Linked DNA regions of Diceros bicornis minor. The protein of the gene in region 2 purifies or fractionates together with the protein of the main gene of each other region. This does not show direct contact. Links are inferred from orthologs where the notes say so. Each region holds a gene or a part of one and is shown on either strand. Other genes may lie near its edges.

Region 1 (9,955 bases), on a different chromosome or scaffold from region 2:
GTGTCGGGGTTGGTGTGCATTGTCCTGACCTCTGGCCATTGCTCCCCTCCTCAGCCATCGTGTGTCCTGTGAGGTAGAGCCATCTGGTACCAGTGACCCTCCTGCCCCACGGGTGCTTCGGCCAACGTTGGTCATCTCGCAGTGGACAGAGTGAGAGAGTCAGTGGTTGGGGGGCAAGTCTCTTGGAGACTTGCCCTTCTTCCTCTGACCCCCGCAATCTCCTGCCACTCCAGGGTTCTGGGCTCTGTTGGGGGTCCCACCCCTCTTATCTCCTGGGACCGGCCCAGTGTGGGGGGAGATGAGGTGCCTGGAACCCCTGCTCCTCTGCTGACCCGGCTGGCCCAGGTGAGCTCTGTTCTTGACCTCTGACCTCAACACTGACCCTGACTCTGTGAATGTTTCTTCCTTGACCTCCCTCCCTGCCTTCACGCCAGTCCCCCATGTTGTTTGTCCCCAGCACATGAAGTGGCCGTCTGTCTCATCTCTGGACACTGCCCTGGAAAGCACTCCATCCCTGCACAGTCCGGCTGACCCCAGCCACCTCTCTCCCCCAGCCTCCTCCCCTAGGCCTTCTCGAGGTCACCGCCGCTCAGCCTCCTGTGGCTCCCCGCTCAGTGGGGGTACAGGAGAAGGGGCCTCCAGGGGGACTGAATATGGGGGAGGGGGGTCTGGGCCAGAAGCCTCTGATTGCCGAATCATCCGCGTCCAGATGGAGCTGGGGGAAGATGGCAGTGTCTACAAGAGCATCTTGGTGAGGGAGCCATGGGCTACAAGGTGGGGGGTGAAGGATGGTGCCCTGTGGGACAATGGATGTTGTCTTAGGTTTGAAGAGCCAAATGAGAGGATGATTCTAGTTTTAATTCTGACCCTTGGTTTTCGCAGCCGTTTTATTTTGAAGGCTACTTTGCATTAGCTGCTGCTCCTTGAACTTTTGGTGGCCATATTAGGTTTTCAGAACCAACAGCAGTTCCCTGCAGGGAAGCAGCCCTGTTTCACTGGGCACCGTGTGGGCTGGCCTGTGGAGGACAGGGAGCCACCATATTGGGTTTCCCTGGTCACTCACAAGTGCTGGACACGGGTAACCTTTTTTGGTTGGGATCAGTGGCTAGGGTTGAAAGGATGGGAAGTAGAGATCATCATGGCCAATTTATTGCTCTTTTGGTCTCCTGTCCTGCCAGGTGACAAGCCAGGACAAGGCTCCAAGTGTCATCAGTCGTGTCCTTAAGAAAAACAATCGTGATTCTGCAGTGGCTTCGGAGTATGAGCTAGTGCAGCTGCTACCAGGGGAGCGAGGTCAGAGGCCACGAGGGGAGGCAGACTCAGGAGAGTGGTGCCCACCAGTGGGAAAGCTTCCACATCTGGGTGGATGTGGGGGGAACGACTGTGTTTGTGCTCAACATCCCCTCTCTGAACTTACAGAGCTGACCATCCCACCCTCGGCTAATGTTTTCTATGCTATGGATGGAGCTTCACACGATTTCCTCCTGCGGCAACGGCGAAGGCCCTCGACTACTACACTGGGCCTCACCGGCAGTTCCTCTGCCTCAGGAACTCCCCCAAGCGAGGGAGGAGGGGGTTCCTTTCCCAGGATCAAGGCCACAGGGAGGAAGATTGCCCGGGCACTGTTCTGAGGAGGAAGCCCTGTTGGCTCACAGAACTCATGGTGGCCATACCAGACGTGGGCAGGCATCCTGAATGATGGCAGTTGTGTCGCATTGGGAAGAAATCCAGAGAGGTGGCCAACCACCCTGGGGCAGTGAAGTGCTGCTAGTTTACCAGACAGCCGAGGGATCCAGCCCTGTGGGAACTGGTACTCTTGGTAACCAAGCTGGAAACCTGTGTACAGCTCCCCAATTTCTATGAATGCACGACACGCCTAGTACTGGGAAAGGGGGTCAATTTCTGATTCCTGGCCACATCCTAGCATGCCAAGGGCCAAGGCAAGGCCTAGAATTAAGGGGAGAGGAAAAGCCTAGAGGCTCTGAGCCCTGGGGAGAGGGGATGGCACAAAGTAGGTTCTTGTAGGAGTTCCTATTCCTACTGTGGGGGTTCATGTCACTGTGACAACACTAAGATAATAAACCAAAACACTACCTGAATTCTACCCCCCTGTCCTTGCAGTGCATGGGAACCAGCTGCTGGGAGTAGGGGTGGGGAGTTGGCTGAAGGTAGACACCATGGAACAAGAAGGAGCCCAGTGTTTTCTATCCCCATGAAGAGCTGAAAGCGAGGTGCTGGTGAAAATGGTTTCCTCAGAATGGTTTATTTCTCCCCAGCAACCTCTCTAACCCGGTCCCTTTATTTGCTCTTAAATTTTTCTCCTCATTTGTCACAGACCCATGTCAAGTACTAGCCACCCAATTAAAGTGATCAGTATGAAGACCTCCCCTGGCTGCAAGTTTGTAAGAAACGATTTTTGGACAAAGAAATGGAAGAACAACTTTGTGGACAATGGACAAACTTAGAGGACATCACAAAGCATTACATGTTGGGATTTTAAATCAGTTTAAGCTACATTCAAACAAATTCTAGGAAGAGAGAGGCTAAAAAGAACTAAGAGAGACACCAGGACTATTTGGAGGATAACAAGTAACCATAGCAAGGAGGGTCACCACATTTCAGCCTGGGGTTTCAGGTTAGAGAATTGTGAGTTCTTCAATTAAACTGCCTTTCCCAACAATTCCTGCATTACAAATGCCCTTCCCATGTTTCCTAAAGACGTGTGCCAACAAAGATAAGAGGGAGTTAAGGGTTGTATACACAGGCAAGTAGTAAGTTTAAGAGAGATTTTAGTCTCAAGAAAGAAAAAACGATTACTCTACCACAGACAGATTCCAGTTGCAAGAATCTGGACCTGTGGGAGTAATGTAGGTGACATATATATAAGGTGGAAGGGGCGGGGGGAATGGATGGAGAATTACCACAGAAGTGTCTGGTCAGGAAACAGCTAGAAGTTTTCACATTTTATTAGCTACAGTATAGATCCTAGAGCTGCCTCATTCCCTCCCCTCCCCGCCCCCCCACCACAGGGTCAGGCCTTCCCAGGAGCCCCTGCCTTTGCTGCCTGGGCCCGCTGGAACTCCTGCTGCAGCTGGGCAAGGGTCTCCCTCTGTTGCTCTGACTGCCGCTCGAGGTCCCGGAGCTGGGATTCATATCGCTTACTGAGGAGAGGCAAGAGAGACAAAAAAGCAAATGAGAAATGAGGGAGACTTACTATTGAGTGTGCTGCAGACAAGAAAGAGATTGGTGGAAAACTTGAGATCTAGGGGAAGGACAAGCAGCATTAAAAGGGAAGGGGTTAGAGGAACTGGACAAGTGGGGGCTACCCTGAAGAGCTACTCTACAATGGCTCCTCAACACCCCTACTCCAACAGTGTCAGATGCATCACAGGGCAGTGGAACAAAGACTCACATTTCAGCTGTGATGTAGTCCAGCCTCTTCCCCACTGTGGCCCGAGCCTCCCCCAGCTCCTGTTTGACCAGCACAGGACCCAGAAGTTTAAAGACCACGTTGGACCCATCCAGCAGGGCCAGTTCCTGATGGAAGAATGGGATATATATGATCACAATCACTGCCACTACAGGTCCCTCCTCGCCCCACAAATCCCAGTCTCTCACCTCCTTCACGATATTATTTTCTGTTAGTTGTGCCTCAAGTTTCTGCCGCCCTGACATGGATTTACTCAAGTCTGGGGGGTGGGAAGAAGGACTTGATTAGAGACATCAACAAATGTGTCCCCTGATCCCTCCCAATCAGAAAATGGAGCTGAGGAAGTGGACAAGGATGGGGACGGCGGGTCAGTGGGTGGAGAAGGGGCTGCACGCGGGGGCCTGGGTGGGGCAGAAAACATCTTGGGATGGCTTTGGGTTCTGAGCGAGTGAGGGGATTGGGGCGAGGCTGCACCGACCCTGCCCCCTTACCCTTCTGTAGCTGTTGGTATTTCTCCACTTCTCCCTGTAGCTTCTTCTGGATCAGCTCTGCCATGGCGGGGACGGAAGCCTGCGGCGAGCGGGCGAGGGGCACTGGGTCTCACACTCTGGAACGTGCCCGAGCTCCCTTTCTGGCCGGGCCTGCGGAAATGACAGCGCTCTTCAGAGGCAGCCTCTCGGGGCACCGCAGCCTCTCTCCGTCCCGGATATCGACTCTACCCCGGCCCCACGAGGTGCCGGGCGAAACGAGACCCCAGACCCCTCAACCGACACCCTACCCTACTCACGTTCTCCCTTCAGTACTAATAAACCCGGAAGCAAACAAAGAATGCTGGGAAAAGACGGCGCCGGAAGCTGTCCTCTGACGTATGCCGGGAACTGTAGTTTTGACATGTTTAATGAATGGTGTTCTGCTAAAAAGACTGGACTCGGAAGGTTTTAGGCAAGATGGGGAAACGAAGCTGGAAAAAGAAACTGCCTCGTTCCTTGTGCCCTGGCCCCGGATTTGCCTTTCTTTCATTACTTGGGCAAAACCTGCCGCTCAGGTGGGCGAGGGCGAGGCTGCCCCGCACCTCCCTGGGGAGCGCGCCCTCACTCAAGATGGCGCCTGGAAGGCTTCAGACCCGGTGCGTGCTGATTGGATGACGGCCAGAGGACTTCCGGGAGTTTTCAAGCGGACTGTTGGACAGCTGAGAGAAGTTTGCACGTGGATCGTGGTTCAGGTGGGCTAGATGGAGACGGCCCCCAAGCCAGGAAGGGGTGTCCCGCCCAAGAAGGACAAACTTCAGGCCAAGAAGAAGGTAGAGACCTCCCTGGGGTGGAAGGGAAATTTTTAACTGCGGGGTCGGAGGGGCGGGGCGCGGGCAGCGGAGTATCAGGGATCCTGATCTGCCGGTAGAAACCGCGGCGATACTGGGAGGAAGAGACCACTCCGACAGCTGCCGCAGCCTCTCCAGGCCCCCCTCAGAACAAGAAGAGAAATCGAGAGCTCCGCCCCCAGAGGCTAAAGAATAATTACATCACAAAGAAGTCTCGGATCTCCAAGAAGCCCCAGGTCCCGAAGAAATCCCGAGAACGGAGAAATCCGGAGCCTCAGCGGAGCTTGTCCGGGGTGAGCCTGGGACCGGATCGGGTGGCGGGGCAAGTCGCCTTGGGCTTTGAGGTTGCGAGGGTTGGGATTAACCCGAGCCTCGAGCCTGTCTGTTAATTGCCTCCTCCCTGCCCCAGGCGCAGGATCCATTTCCAGGCCCCGCCCCCGTGCCTGTGGAGGTGGCTCAGAAGTTCTGTCGCATTGACAAATCCAAAAAGGTGAGGACCAGCCGGGGGGGAGGGGGGCGGGGGGGGGTTGCAAGCAGGGAGTGACTGGGTGAGATGAGTGGAGGCGGGACCAGGTGGCTGTCTTGTGACTCCACATATTTGCTGGTTCTTCTCGCGCTTCTCTACCACCAACGATGTTATAGCTGCCACATTCTAAGTCCAAAACCCGAAGCCGAGTTGAGGTGGCTGAAGCTGAGGAAGAGGAGATAAGTGTCAAAGCTGCTCGTTCTGAGCTGCTGCTTGCTGAGGAACCTGGGTAAGTGGACCCTAATGTGGGCCTCCCCAGCCCCCGCTTTATGGCACTCTTCTTTCTCCTTTTTATGTTGGTACACCCACTTCATATTAGGAAGCTTTGCTGCAACCTTACCACTCACTTGCAGGTTTCTGGAAGGGGAGGATGGGGAGGACACGGCAAAGATACGCCAGGCCGACATCGTGGAGGCTGTGGACATTGCAAGTGCAGCCAAGGTGAGCCTGAGGATGGAAAAGGGGCCAGTGAGTTGATTGGTGGAGCAGAGCAAGATGGACATGGGGACTAGAAGAGGGAATTACTGAAGGGAGCCAGCTCTTCATGATCCTTTTTCTTTTTGCTCTTCCCTTTCCCAGCATTTTGACTTGAACTTGAGACAGTTTGGACCCTACAGGCTGAATTACTCTCGAACTGGGAGGTAAGGTTGAATTCCAGTGACTCTGGAACTAGGACATAGCGGTGTCTCTTTATCACGTCAGCCAAGCCCACCTCAGCCACACCAGCGTATGTCTGGGGTGTTGAGTGGGGAGGGTCCTGTGATTTGCTTGCATGTGAGAGAGAGCATGTGTAGCAACATCTCTTCTCTCACCTGGAGAGGAGGAGCTGGCGTGGGGCAGACCTCAAAAGGTCTGAGTCAGGGTGCTCCCCTGCATTGACACCGTGCCTATACCCCACCTCCAACAGACACCTGGCTTTTGGAGGGCGCCGGGGTCATGTGGCCGCACTTGACTGGGTGACAAAGAAGCTCATGTGTGAGATCAACGTCATGGAGGCCGTGCGGGACATCCGGTCAGTGGGGTGAGACAGCCCATCCCTGATTGAGTGACAGCCCGTGACGCCTTTTCCCACTGAACCACTTCTCCCGTCCTCCCAGGTTTCTGCATTCGGAGGCACTGCTTGCTGTTGCTCAGAACTGCTGGCTTCACATCTACGACAACCAGGGCATCGAGCTCCACTGCATCCGCCGCTGTGACCGAGTCACGCGGCTTGAGTTCCTGCCCTTCCACTTCCTCCTGGCCACAGCTGTGAGTGGCTGTGGAGCACAGGGACCTGGTGGCAGCCCTGGAGAAGACTGCCCTTCCCCTGGGACCACAGTGGAGGGAGGACAGAGGGCAATCACGACTCATTCTCTTCCTCTCTTTCTCTCTCTCTCATAGTCAGAGACAGGGTTTCTGACCTACCTGGACGTGTCAGTGGGAAAGATCGTGGCAGCTCTGAATGCTCGGGCTGGACGGCTCGACGTCATGACTCAGAACCCTTCCAATGCCGTCATCCATCTTGGACACAGCAATGGTGCGTCCCTGGCTGGGCTTTGACTCCCTGACCATGCTGACTTGCTTTTTTCTATACTGTACTTCATGAGTACTTACCTCCCGCTCTTGTTACCTCTTGGCGTTGAGTCCCCATTTTCTCAGGTTTAATCACCTCAGCGCCCTGTTAGTAACTTCAGCTCTTCTCCTCTGATGTCCAGGTACTGTGTCCTTATGGAGTCCAGCTGTGAAGGAGCCACTGGCGAAGATTCTCTGTCACCGTGGTGGGGTCCGGGCTGTGGCAGTAGATTCTACAGGCACGTAAGTCACTTGTTTGGGGGTCACAGCTGGGAAGAAAGGCATAGAGTCAATGTGTCTTTAGGAGCACAGACTCTGCAGCCAGCTGCCTGGGTTTAAATCCTGCTGTTACCACTGACCAGCCGTGTAAGTGTGGGCACGTTACACAACCTCTCTGTGCCACACTCTCCTCACCCTGGGAGTGAGGACATGAGTGTCTAGCTCAGCACATTTTTCCTGTAGAGTCAGGTAGTAAATATTTTAGGCTTTGCTGGTCAAGAGGCAAAATCGAGGGTATTATGTAGGTACTTAAATAACAACAGAGACAACAAAGCACAAATTTTTAAGCAATGAAATTCAAAATATAATGATTTAATACAAAATCTTTGTAATATAGGTCTACAAATGGGAAGAATTCGATTCCTCTTTTTGAAGATAACATTTTGCTTAATTGAGGTTCATGGTTAGTGTTCCAAATCACCAAACTAAATTGCAAATGTTTGTCTGTTAATGCTCATCTGTAAAGAGATTTTCTATATTTCATCTTTGGAAACATCTTTTCACACAGATAGATGATGAGACAGGTGGTCTGTGAGGTGCTCAAAGTGCTGTCAGTTATAACCATGTCACTGAGACTTGTCATGCGCTGGGCAGCAGTGGGAAGCGATAAGATGCCACACACAGTGTCTGTCTTGACCTCTCTACTGTGCTAGTGTAACGGAGAAGCAGCCACAGAACAAGTAAATGAACAAATGTGGTTGTGTTCCAATAAAACTTTATTTGTGGACACTGAAATTTGAGTTTTGTTTAATTTTCACATCTCAAAATATCCTTCTTTTGATTTTTTTCCAACCACTTAAAAATGTAAAAACCAGGGGGGCTGGCCCCACGGCGTAGCAGCTAAGTGCATGCGCTCCGCTGCTGGCAGCGCGGGTTCGGATCCCGGGCGCGCACCGATGCACCGCTTGTCAGGCCATGCTTTGGCGGGGGTCCCATGTAAAGTGGAGGAAGATGGGCACGGATGTTAGCTCAGGGCCAGTCTTCCTCAGCAAAAAGAGAAGGATTGGCATGGATGTTAGCTCTTGTAGGCTGTTCAGAGATAGGTGGTGCAAGGCTTTATTTGGCTCATGGGCTGTGGTTTGCCCAGCCCTGGGCTTAGCTCATAGAGCTGTTGTAGGCGTTACAGTGAGGTAAGGCACGTAGAGTTTAGCGTGGTGCGGGGTGAACGGAGTGCACCATGTTTCATCCTCATCCTCAGCGAAGATGATCGTGCTCTTTAGGTCTGGCTGGTGCTGTGAGGGGTGGGGGTGGTGGGTCCACTTTGAATCTCTGCTCTTTCTGAGAGAGCTTTGGCATTTCCACAGCTCTTCTGATCTGTATGTGTCTCTGGATCTGGCAGACTGTTTCCCGTACAAGTTCCCGTGTGTTTTCCTCTAATTCCTTTCATCTGTCAGGCATTCACCAGGCACCTGGTGTGGGCTGGGCTCTACACTGAGGTTCTGGGGGTATAAGGATGAATCGGCCATTAAGCCTGTCCCAGTGTGTTGTTCCATACACTTTATTTACAAAAACAGGTGGCTGTGGTACAGGAATGATTATCCAGGTCACGCACTTAGGTTCTACTCAGTTGTCTTCTGTCACCCCAGACTGCATGCGTCCATCAAGGGATAGGTCACCTCTCTCCCAAAGTTCCTCCTTGCCTGCCCCCTTTCTGCCACATTTTCCTGTCACCCACAATATGACTTCTTTGCCACCTCTAGCCTCACAGCCCGTGTTCTTCAGCCATCAGTAATAGCAGGAATCCAAAGCACCATTCACTGAGTGCATTCTGGGTGCCCAGGCTCTGCTACTTGCTTTGGTGGTATCACTTCATGACCACTCACTACCCCCCGTGACGTCCTGACTGCTTTTCCCCTCGAGGGTCCTCCAAGTCTGTTCTCTCCATCCTTGCCGTTTCTGCGGACATGCGTGATGCTCACAGCCGGTTTCCAGCCTCCAGTTCTTCCTCCTCCTGGCGTGCCCCGGGTGTGTTGTCAGAATAATCTTTCCCACAAGCTGCTTTCCTTTTACACTGCTGCCCAGGCATCTTCTACATTAGGTATAAACTACATAACTTTATTTTTAAACTGTTTTTAAAGAAAAACAAGAAAAGGAAAAGCCCAGTGGCCACCAACTTATGAAAGCCTTCCAGCTGCTCAGACCCCCTTGGCCTCCCACAGTTGTGTCTTGGTGGACAAGTGGTTTGGTTCCGCCCTTTTACTCCATATCTGTGGCAGCCTGGCTCTGGGAGAGTGGGGAGGCCTGTCCCAAGGCTTTCTGCCTTCTGTGGGCCACTGGACCTAAGTAGTTGGCCTTCCCTGGGCCGCCTGGGTCAGCTGCTCCTGTGCCCAGGGCTTAATCAGTTAGTTCACTGAGGTTTGGTCAACGATTGATGCTGAACAGCTCTGGGCCTTGATCTTAGGCACACCCCTGCTTATCTCTGGTTCTCCTCAGAGGCGCCTTAGACAAGCCACAGAGGCTCCAGAGATGAGGCTTACTGTCTTCCTCAAGAGGTGTTCTGGGAGCTTGCATTAGGATTGGATTGGGTTCTCAAAGCCGAACTGTTTCTTGCAAGTTTGGTAGCATGATAGCGTGGCCTGAATGCCCATCTGGCCAACGGGCTGGTATCTGCACAGGGGATCCCTGTGTGTAAGGTGGGTGGGTATGGGGTGAGGAGCCAGCATGTGCCCCTGAGTTGTTGGTTCACTGAAGGGTGTGACCCTGTGTCCCAGGAGCCCTCAGTAATTCCTGGTTTGCGCTTATAGCCTTTCCTTCTGGTGGAGCTGGGGCCCTCATTGTCTTGTCTTGTCAGGAGAAGTATCCAACTGGGCCTCTATTCGGCCCCATCACAGGGCAAGTCTCTGCTCATAGG
Region 2 (10,884 bases):
AGCTCAGGGCCACTCTTCCTCAAAAAAAAAGTTAATGCAGTTCAAAAAAATAACAAGTGTTGGAGAGGATGTGGAGAAAAGGGAATCCTCGTACACTGCTGGTGGGAATGCAAACTGGTGCAACCACTATGAAAACAGTATGGAGATTTCTCAAAAAATTAAAAATAGAAATACATACGATCCAGCTATCCCACCAGTGGGTATCTATCCAAAGAACCTGAAACCAACAATCCAAAGATGCTTATGCACCCCTATGTTCATTGCAACATTATTCACTGTAGCCAAGAGGTGGAAGCAACCCAAGTGCCCATCAACTGATGAATGGATAAAGAAGATGTGGTATATATACAATGGAATACTACTCAGCCATAAAAAAAAAAAACAAAATCATCCCATTTGCAACAACATGGATGGACCTTGAGGGTATTATGTTAAGTGAAATAAGCCAGACAGAGAAAGACAAATACTGTATGATTTCAGTCATATGTGGAAGATAAACAAACATGGGTAAAAGAACAGATCAGTGGTTACCAAAGGGGAAGGGGGTGAGAGGGGAGGGCAAAAGGGGTAAAGGGGCACATACGTATGGTGACGAACAAAAACTAGACTATTGGTGGTGAGCATGATGCAGTCTATACAGAAACTGATATAATAATGTACACCTGAAATTACATAATGTTACAAACCAATATGACCTCAATCAAATAATTTTTTTTAAAAAGATTCTGTTGGTTAAAGTAACTGAAAAATGCAGTGGTGGGTCTTTAGGTAGAGTTTGATCCAGGGGCTCAGTGATTGTCAGGAGGATCTGGTCTTTCTCATCATATTATAGTTCTTTTGCCCTCTGTTCTCATTCTCAGGCAGCTAGCTCCACTCTGCATGGTAGAGGAAACTCCATACTTGCATTCTCACAGCTCCAAATTCAATGGGAAAGAGCCCCAGCAAAAATCCCAGGATTCACGCCATTGGACTAATCTGGTTAATGCCCTCTTCTCTGTGGCCAAGGGAATTTGATGTTCTGATTGACTAAGTCTGACTCGGAGGTGTAGTTCCTGGAACCCACAGTCAAGCCTCTCTGAAAACCATATGCTCTGAGATTGGAGGAATTGTGGTTCCTTGAAGGAAAATTTAGGGGTTTGCCAAAAGAGGGGTAAAATGGATACTGCGTACACAAGAACGCCATCTGGCCACTTCAGTCTCCAGCAGCTCCCAGAAAAAGGCTCGGTAATGGGGCCTGTGGGGCAGACTAGATTGCATTAACATGGTGCTGGTTCTGTCCAGGTCCTCGGGACACTGGCGTAGATGCTGCTCGGTCTCAGCCGCACAGATAGGATGGGAGCTGGATGTCTGGGTGATTGACGTGAAGGCTGCTCTCACAGCCTCACAGCCACTCTGCTCCAGGGGACCCCATTTGTGATTTGTCAGTAATGGGTCTTCTCCCTTGGCTTCCTCAAGCTGTTTTTCTTTCTCTGATATAAAAATAACACTTAAACAGGATCCTGATCCCATGTCCCAGACAAATCAGCTATCCAGAGATAACAGCCAAATTCACCCTAGGGTCAGGGTGCAGTGTCCCTATTACACCCAGTTTTGAGAGTGAGCCAAGAAGTAGGGTTTCAAGAAATATGACACCATAACCGGAGACTAAAATCCAACACCCAAGGAGTATCTATTTCCCAACCAAAGCCAGTACTTTCCACTGATTCGTCCTGCCAAAGAGGATGAGTAGGGCCGGGCTGGCCGCAAGAGCAGGTGTGGGGCTCTGTGAGGCAAGGAGCAGGGGCAGCGCAGAGAGCTTCTGCTTTACAACCACCAAATCACAAAGACCTTAGGGTTGAGCAGCGCTGGTGTCTGCCCGCAGCTGGAAGCCTCCTCCATCCCACCCTTGTTGTGGCCTTGAGATGGCTACTGAGGAATCAGAGCTTTCAGAGCCTTGTAGCTGGAGATCTAGGGGGCCTGGAAGCAGGTGCCGAGCTAACAATTATAGTAACCACTTACGGAGCATGTTTCACATGCCAGGCCTGTGCCTTACTTACATTAAGCTGGGTGGTTAAGAGTGTGGTGTGGGAGTCCGTAAGCACTGGATTAGACCCTCGGCTCCATCACACCAGCTTTGAGATTTTCCTCAAGTTACTAAATCTCTCTGTGCCTCGATTTTTCTCATCTGTAAAATTATACTAATAACAGTATTTACCACTAGAGTTGTGAGGGATTACATGGCATACTGCTCACACCGTGTTTCGCAGGGTCTGGTAGATATTAAGCACTGCATCATTATATACATTTGTAATTTCTAACCCTGCCCCCATCCTGCAATGTAAATGCATTAGTTAGAGAGAGGCTTGGCTGCTGTAGCAGAGGGTCGATTTGTCAACGGCTTAAACAAGATAGAAGTTTATTTCTCTTTATAACATAACAGTCCAGAGGTAGCCAGGCCAGTATGGGAGTGGGGAAGATTCTATCATTTTCAACCTGCATCTCCCACCCTTGGGTTCCAATGGCTGCTCCAGCTCCTGCCATCTTATCATAATTCCAATCAGTAAGAAGGGGAAAATCTTCCTTTAAGGTTGCATATAATGTTGCTGCTCAGATCCCATTGGCCAAGCTGAGTCACATGGCAGTGCTAGCTGCAAAGGAAGCTGGGAAATATAATCTTACACTTAGCTAAAATTGTGGGGATTTACTAGTAGAGGAAGAAGAAGGAGAGAATAGACACCGCTCTGCCAGAGCCCACCGGCTGGCCACCCCTCACAAAGAACACATTCAGCATCCCTCGAAGGGAGGCAAGGCAGGGTCCCATCCAGACACAGCACAGCTCAGAGCCCAGGATCTCTGTGGAACTGGGTATGGAGGGGGTCCTCATGGTCTAGTGACTATAAACCGAAAGGCAGGAAATGGGGCCCTTCCACTCCCCGTAGACACCAGTGGAGGAGGAACAGGATGAATAAACTCAATTAAAACATCCACTGGGAACAGGAAAGCACGGCAATCCCCCGGCGGTCACGGGATCTTAACAGTTTTGCAAATTGCAAAGCTGCTTCCCCCCAAGTGGAGTGAGTTCTTGGGCAACGCATCTGGCCGCCCCTGGTTCTGCTCTCTGGGAGGATCTGCCCTTTCTGCTCTCCTATGTGGCCTCTGGCGTGGACTCCTGGGAAGTTATTCCTCACCCATTATCCTCTGGGGCTGCACTGGAGACCATGTCCCTTCTTCTTGCAGACCTTACGACTTGCACAGCCCTCTTCCTGCTAGTGCAGATTTGGGGTGTTGGGGATAACTGGGGGCTCAAGCCAGGCTGTGCAGACCAGGTGTATGGTTTCTTTGCCAACACAACACCCTCGAAATCTTAGAAGGCTTCTAATTGGTTCCATATTTGAGTAACCACAGCCAATGGACTCATTTGACATAATTTTTACGCTTGAATACTCTGGACTTGGTGAACTTTCTAGTCTCTCTCCAAATTCTGTGCCTGTCTTGAGGCCATCTGAAAAAATATGCTTGGCTGTGAAGGGAACTCCCTTATTCTGCCCACTGGGCCGGCTCCCACTGTCTCTAAACAGGGTGCGCTTGAGAAAGTTTTGGGACCACAGGCACAGTCCTTGCTACGGCTGTGTCTTCCAAACCACCTCTCAAAACCAGCCTGCGTGCATCTCGCTTGTAGGACTTTGCTAGTAGCAGTAAGCAGCAGGCAATACGCACCAATGGTCTGAGTGTTTCCATTCAATTTCTGTGAGTTACAGGCTCTGTTAGCATATGATCACCTCTCAAGGCATCATAGATGCCAGACATGCCGTTTGTTTTGCTATAACAAAGCAATAGTCACCAGCTTACCTGCATGCAATATTTTTCTTTGCTACCTGCTGTTCCGTCTCTGAACCAATACCACTTGTTTTAAGCTTTTAAAAAAGTGCCACTTCCCGATACCAAATTCTGCATTAGTTAGGATATGTGTTTGGTTGCTGTAACAAAAACCCAATTTAAGAACGACTTAAACCAGAAAGTTTATTTCTCTCTCATATAATAGTCTGTAGATAGTCTAAACCTGGTAGGGTGCCTCCAAAACTCTCAACAAGCATCTTTCATCTTGAGTACAAGGTAGCTGCTCTAGGGGCCAGCCCCATGGCATAGTTAAATTCAGCATGCTCCACTTTGACAGCCTGGGTTCGGTTCACAGGCGCAGACCTACACCACTTGTCAGCAGCCATGCTGTGGTGGCGACCCACATACAAAATAAAGGAAGATTGGCACAGATGTTAGCTCAGGGTGAATCTTCCTCAGCAAAAAAAATATAAAAAAAAAAAGATAGCTGCTCTAGCTCCTGCCATCACATTAGCATTCCAGACAGCAGAAAAGAAAAAGGAAGAGGGGAACTCATGCCTCTTTCTTTTAAGGTCTGACCTGAAAGTTGTTCACATCACTTCCCCTAACATTGTAATGGCCAAATTTAGTCACAAGGTCATATTTAGCTGTAAGGAAGATTGGGAATCTAAGTCTTTATTATAGGCAGCCATTCCAGCTAAAATCCAAGCGATTCAAGGAAGAAGAGAAAAATAGATACCGGGAGGCAACTGGCAGTCTCTGGCGCAGAATGTTTTTATCCTCATTTTACGTTCGTGGAAACAGGCTCAGAGAAAACAAGCAACGCTTTCCAAGGTCATATGGCAAGCAAACCACAGAGCATGAATTTAATCAGGTCCATCTGACCCCAAAACAGGCTGTCCATCATATCCAGCCAACATATTTTGGTCATCAGGGTGCCTGCTGTTTTACTTAGAGACAAAAGATATTGACACGTGAATTGTTATGTAAATGCCAGCCCAGCGTACACTGAGACATGCACACAGCACATGCTCTACAAGGAGAATGGTGCAGTGAGGGGGATACGATCAGGGAAGACTTTTTCTTTTTTTTTACTGAGGAAGAGTGGCCCTGAGCTAACATCTGTTGCCAATCTTCCTCTTTTTTTGCTTGAGGAAGATTTGCCCTGAGCTAACATCTGTGCCAACCTTCCTCTATTTTGTATGTGGGTCGCCACCACAGCACGGCTGATGAGTGGCGTAGGATCTGAACCCTCGAACCTGCGCTGCCGAAGCAGAGCAAGTCGAACTTAACCACTACACCACGGGGCCAGCCCCCAGGGAAGACTCTGTTGAAGAGGAGCCCCTGCTACTGTCCTTGTAGATGGAGCATGTCTGAGGTGGAGGGGAGAGTGGAGTATCGCAGGAGAAGGCAGTCGTGTGAGCTGAGCCTGTTCTGTGTCTGGCTTGGCTGTGAAGGTGGCCCAGAACATAAGGGGGTGGGGACTTTCCAGGTCTGATGCACCGCATATCTCCAGGCATGGTCCACTTGATCTTTCCACCATTTGAGGTGTCCTATTAGCTGTGCCTTAGAAGTTCCATCATCCGGGACCAGGCAGGAACAGGCCACAGGGACGCTGTGGAAGGAGGGCTGCATTCACCCCCATGCTATCCAAGACACACGTGGAAAAGCTAAGTCCCTTCCCTGCTCTGTCCTCCTCCACGCTCCCCAGAGGCAGGACAAGGGCTTTGAGGAATGGTGGGAAATACGTTCAATAAATTCAGCAAGAAATCCCGTAATTCATTACTGAGTGGCTGCTCCAGGGCCAGAGCCTGGGATGGAAGAGGCTGGAAGGAGGGGAGGACGGGAGGGGCAGAGAGAGGGAGCTGGAGCAGCTGGGTCAGCAGCATTCCTGATTTGGACATTGACTCAGGCCCCAGGAATGCCAAGGAGGGGGGGCGGGAGCAGCCGCCAGAGCCGGGCAGGGATCCTGTTGGCACGAGGAGATACAGGGACAGCACAGAGTGCAGGATGGGGGAACTGGGGCTCCTGCACACCTGGCCCAACCTCCAAACCACAGGTAGAAACAGGTGTGTCTCCCCCGTGGACAATCGCAGGCCCCAAGCCCTCGAGCACACCTCTAAGGTGATCCTCGCAGCTCCCCACCCGCCCAAACCATCCCCCTCCAACGCCTCCAGCAGAGAGAGGGACGGTCTCCTGGGACTCAAATGGGGACATCTGGACACACACTGGCCACTCTCCCGGGACCACCCACAAACCCCTTATCCCCACCCTCCTAGCTGGCTGCAACTCGCCCTTTCTAACTGCAGCACCACCCACCACTGAAGTTTGTACAGGGAAGAAAGTTGAGGTCAGTCTGCCTCCATTTTGCCCCCTCTGGCGCCTGACAAAGATGAGAGGCCCTCGGGGGGGAACTCAGGACCCTGAGAGCCCCCTCCTCCCGCCCCAGTGCCCTCGCCATGCTCCAAGCCGCCTCCCCCACAGCAAAGGCCTTCTCGCTTGTCCTGGGAGACCCAGGAGGCAGTCCAGGACCGGGCATGGAGATGCCAGGTGCGCCCCTTCCCACCCCACCCCGCCCCCAGGCTGCTGGTCTGGAGCAGCTGAGTGGCTGGACCCTCCTTCCCGCCGTCTGACACCCAATCAGAGCGAAACCGATCTGGGGAGGGCAGAGTGCCAGGGGCCGGGCCCAGAATAGTGCTGCCCAGCCACCGTGTCCCACACTTGCTCTCCGTTGATCCTGTTGGCTGCATGGAGCCAGAGCTGGAGCATGCACTATGCGGGGTACAGGGGTCCCAGGGGGCCGGAGCTGGGCGGCTGAGGCCAGAGGACTGAGAGCACCCCTCACCGTGTGAATGCATGCGTGTGCGCGCGCGTGTGTGTGTTTGGTCTGGATTTTCTCTGTGCTTATGAACATGTGGGTGTCCGTGTGTGTATATTCTTTAAGTGAGTGAGTGTATGCGGTTCTGTGTGTGTCTGGTAAGGGTTGAATATGTGTGTTTCTGAGTGTGTATAAGTGTTTGTGTATGGATGTGTGTGTTTATGTGTGTTTGTGGGGGGGGTGTTTACATGTGTGTGTGTTTATGGTGTGTGTGTGTTTGTGGGGTGTGTGTATGAGTATGTGTTTGTGGAGTGTGTGTATGGGTGTGTGTGTGTTTATGGGGTGTATGTGTATACATGTATGGGTGTGTTTGTGTGTGTGTGTGTGTTCATGTGGTGGGAAAGGAAGGACCTGTGGTTTGGGAACAGAGGACATTGTCCCCACTCCCTCAGACATTCTTCTCCCTACAGGCCCCATCCTGGAGCAGCCTTGGGGGACCTGAGCATCAGGGTAGGTGGGGCTGCCCCCTCCTCATGGGCCCAGCTCTTCTCCCACTTCCTTTGTCCCCCACCTCTCTGGGCCCCCTTCCTCCCCGACTCCACTAACCAGCCTTTTGTCTTCCTCTCCTTCTCCGTCTTTGTTCCTCTTTGTTTCTTCTTCCTCCGTTCCCTCACCTCCTCCTTCCTCTCTCGGAAGAAGAGAGGGGGGATCTAGAGTCTGAAGACTTGGACCCAGCCCTGAATTTATCACTTACTAGCTGTGTGATTTGTGGCAAATTGCTTAACCTCTCTGATCTCAGGTCCCTCATTAATAAATTAGAGATAATAGTAATGCCTTCCTTGTAAGATCACTATGAGGTTTGAATGAGAAATGCATTGGAGAAAAGAACCTTTGGAAGCTTGCAAATGTTAAGTATTATTATTAATAACATTTTAATTGATTTTGTTGTGTTACTCCTTATTAACCAAATGGGCCCCATTCCCCCTTCCAGAGATGAGCTTCCTAGAGCAAGAAGACAGCATTTCATGGCCATCACCAGCCATGACCACCAGCTCAGAAAGAAATCCTGGGAAACAGGGTACTGAGGCCTCAAGACGGACAAAGCAAGAGGCTGTGGAGGCGGGGGAGCTGCCAAGCCCGGGGGAAGGTAAGACCAAGACCAGTTCTGGGGAGATGGGAGCAGAGGCAGTGGGAAGTCCCGGAGCCTGGGGCCAGGGATCCCTCCATACACAGAGGTGGACCCAACCCTCATCTTGTGGGTTTGGGCTCAGTCTCCCCATCTGGGAGAGGTCAACTGCTTTGTAGAGCCAGGGGCTCAACACAGCCAACTCAGAAAGATGGGACAGAGCCGCTATCTGGTGTGACTCTCTGAGACTCACCTGCAAAATGGGGGCCCCAGCATCCAGGTTACCCAAGGCCACTGTGAGGATGAACTGAGACAGTAGATGAGAGAGTGTTTTGGAAGATGGAGTTACTGTCCTCTCCCCCAAACAGGTCCACAATCCAAGCCAGCTGCTGAATCCACCGGGCTGGAGGCCACATTCCCCAAGGCCACACCCTTGGCCCAAGCTGCTCCCTTGGCCAGAGTGGACACTCCACCAACAGAGAGGGACATCCTTCCCCCTGACTATGCAGCCTCAGCCGTTGGCTCGAGCACAGATGATCTGGATCTGGGCATAGAGTTCTCAGCCACAGCAGCCTGGGGGTGTGAGCTCGGCCTGGTGGAAGAGAGGCCTGCCCGGTGCCCATCCCCGAAGGACCTGTTACCCAGGCTGGGCTGGGACGATGAGCTGCGGAAGCCAGGGGCCCAGGTCTACATGCACTTCATGCAGGAGCACACCTGCTACGATGCCATGGCAACCAGCTCCAAGCTGGTCATCTTTGACACCATGCTGCAGGTGAGGCCACCACTCGCCCCACCTCCATCCTGATGGCACTGCAGCCTGTGTCACATCCTCAAGGACACCCTGCCAGGCCAGGCCCCCTGCAAGATCCCTTCCAGGACTCCTTCTTAGAGTCATGGAGACCAGTGCGGGGAGAGCTTCTACTCTCTCCTCCCCAAAATTGTCATGGCAGCTCTGCCACTTATCTCTGTAGGATCTTGAGTTGGTTACTTTACCTTTCTCATCTCTAATATGGGGATAGGAATGCCCACCTTGCCCTACAAGTTTCAGAGGACTCCTGGGACAACCCAGGATAAATGGGAGCACTTTGCAAAGTCCTGAAGTACGTGGAAGATCTGGCAGGGTGACTTAGGACAAGGAGCAGGGGACTGCCGGTAACAGAAAAACAGGATGCGTTCTGGTCCCTGCTCTTCCGTTGGGCTGAGCTACGAAACGCCTGATTCCATTCTTACCATCGTGTATATCAGAGCGGTGTTGCCCAAAGCATGGCGTATGTATCGTCCACGGGGCACAATTTGATTGTAGTGGTATATGAACAGATATATTTCTTTTTGGAGCTTTGTATTTATTTTAATATGTATTAGAAAAATACAAGCAGCACCTATAGATAGTATTGCTTAGGATGAAGCTAAAATGAGTCAATGTGAAACTTATTTAGAGAAAAACGTTTTGTAAATATTACATAAATCATTACCAGCCCCAGTGGTCTAGTGGTTAAGATTCGGTGCTCTCCCCACCGCGGCCCGAGTTCATTTCTGGTCAGGGAACCACACCACCCGTCTGTCTGTTGGTTGTCGTCCTGTGGTGGCTGCGTGTTGCTGTGATGCTGAAAGCTATGCCACCAGGATTTCAAATACCAGCAGGGTCACTCATGGTGGATAGGTTTCAGCGGAGCTTCCAGACTAGACAGAGTAGGAAGGAGGACCTGGCCACTCGCTTCCGAAAGAAATTGGCCATGAAAGCCCTGTGAATAGCAGCGGAGCATTGTCTGATAGAGTGCCAGAAGGTGAGAGGATGATGCAGAAAGACTGGACAGGGTTCACTCTGCTGGACACAGGGCCGCGAGGAGTTGGAATGGACTCTATGGCACTAACAACAACAAAAATGTAGTTAAAAATACCTCTAGTACTTAGATTAGCAAAAACTATTCTGTGTGTGTCCACACACATATGACTTCAGGGTGGAAATACTGAGTTAGTTTCCCACACCTTGGTGTGCCTGCTGGAGGAGTCATCAGGGTAGCAAATGTGGGTGACAAGGATCACGTCTAGGGGGTGCCATGACGTGAGAAAGGCAGGCACGTGGGACAGGGTACCACTGAAGCGCAGTGAGAAACTCACCCTCGACTGTTCTCCCCGGCCCTCAGATCAAGAAGGCCTTCTTTGCGCTGGTGGCCAACGGCGTCCGGGCAGCACCTCTGTGGGACAGCAAGAAGCAGACTTTTGTGGGTGAGGAGGGGAAAGGAAAGGAGGGACCTTGTGAGGCAGTTCTGGGGCTGAGCTCGAATGCACCACAGGCTCAGCAGACCCTTGGCTGAGCCAGTCAGGGGCCAGTGTGGGGGAATGTTTGAACCTGGTCTTGGGGTGGCCACCTGGGAGACCCCATCTGTGAAGAGTTGTGACCAGCCGACCCCTCCAGCTCTGCTACCCCATGGTCCCATGTCATAGGTGCTAGGTAGGAAAAGAGGAAAGGGAGAGGAAGAAATTAGGAGAGTGGGAAAGGGGAGAAGGAGAGGAGTTACATGGGAAGTGTACAAGGGAGAACCCCATTTCTCAAGTGTGGGAGGGGCAGCCCTTCTCCTCTTTCCACAATTCCCACCATTCCCACCGTTGTCTCAGAACTGGGACTGCAGGGTCTGACTCCTCAACCTGCCTCCCACCACGGACCCCAGGCTGACCCCCTGTACCTCCCCTCCCAACCCCGCAGGGATGCTGACCATCACAGACTTCATCCTGGTGCTGCATCGCTATTACAGGTCCCCCCTGGTGAGAACTGGACTGGGAGTCCCGGGGGCACCCATCTCCGCTGGGGCAGAGGGGAGTTCGGGGAGCTTGGTGCCCGAGGGGCTCACGTCTGATTTCTGGAGTCCTGTCGATGTCTCTAGGTCCAGATCTATGAGATTGAAGAACATAAGATTGAGACCTGGAGGGGTGAGCGGGCAGAGGGGACCTGGAAATGGGCTGAGGGTGTGTGGGTGAGCATGGGGGTTTTCTGGAGGGAGCAGGGGAAGGGTGAGAGGGAGCCCACAGGCTGGGGGCTGCCAGGTGAGGCGGGGCGGCCAGCTCCCTTGGACTGACCCGGCTTTTCCTGCAGAGATCTACCTTCAAGGCTGCTTCAAGCCGCTGG

What was found. Proteins that work in one complex are often made in the same cells at the same time.
Region 1: the proteins of PRKAG3 (region 2) and PFDN6 purify together in Homo sapiens (affinity purification with mass spectrometry; 3 studies listed by BioGRID and IntAct, with this or other methods). This does not show direct contact. The link is inferred for Diceros bicornis minor from reciprocal best matches to the Homo sapiens genes PRKAG3 and PFDN6.

Annotation. Positions count from the first base shown.
Region 1 is NC_080753.1:31,168,953-31,178,907, forward strand, and holds PFDN6 (prefoldin subunit 6), read right to left. Parts: upstream 4,198-9,955; 5' UTR 3,986-4,197; coding exon 3,922-3,985; intron 3,690-3,921; coding exon 3,619-3,689; intron 3,538-3,618; coding exon 3,413-3,537; intron 3,162-3,412; coding exon 3,032-3,161; 3' UTR 2,773-3,031; downstream 1-2,772. Other genes in the region: RGL2 (ral guanine nucleotide dissociation stimulator-like 2), read left to right, coding at 55-150, 234-345, 458-751, 1,179-1,293, 1,420-1,631; WDR46 (WD repeat-containing protein 46), read left to right, coding at 4,662-4,730, 4,829-5,041, 5,158-5,238, 5,391-5,503, 5,628-5,715, 5,854-5,915, 6,182-6,286, 6,372-6,522 and 2 more. UniProt on the Homo sapiens protein: Binds specifically to cytosolic chaperonin (c-CPN) and transfers target proteins to it. Binds to nascent polypeptide chain and promotes folding in an environment in which there are many competing pathways for nonnative proteins.
Region 2 is NC_080776.1:9,184,032-9,194,915, reverse strand, and holds the start of PRKAG3 (5'-AMP-activated protein kinase subunit gamma-3), read left to right. Parts: upstream 1-6,516; 5' UTR 6,517-6,564; coding exon 6,565-6,597; intron 6,598-7,104; coding exon 7,105-7,144; intron 7,145-7,625; coding exon 7,626-7,781; intron 7,782-8,128; coding exon 8,129-8,532; intron 8,533-9,904; coding exon 9,905-9,986; intron 9,987-10,464; coding exon 10,465-10,523; intron 10,524-10,642; coding exon 10,643-10,688; intron 10,689-10,851; coding exon 10,852-10,884. UniProt on the Homo sapiens protein: AMP/ATP-binding subunit of AMP-activated protein kinase (AMPK), an energy sensor protein kinase that plays a key role in regulating cellular energy metabolism.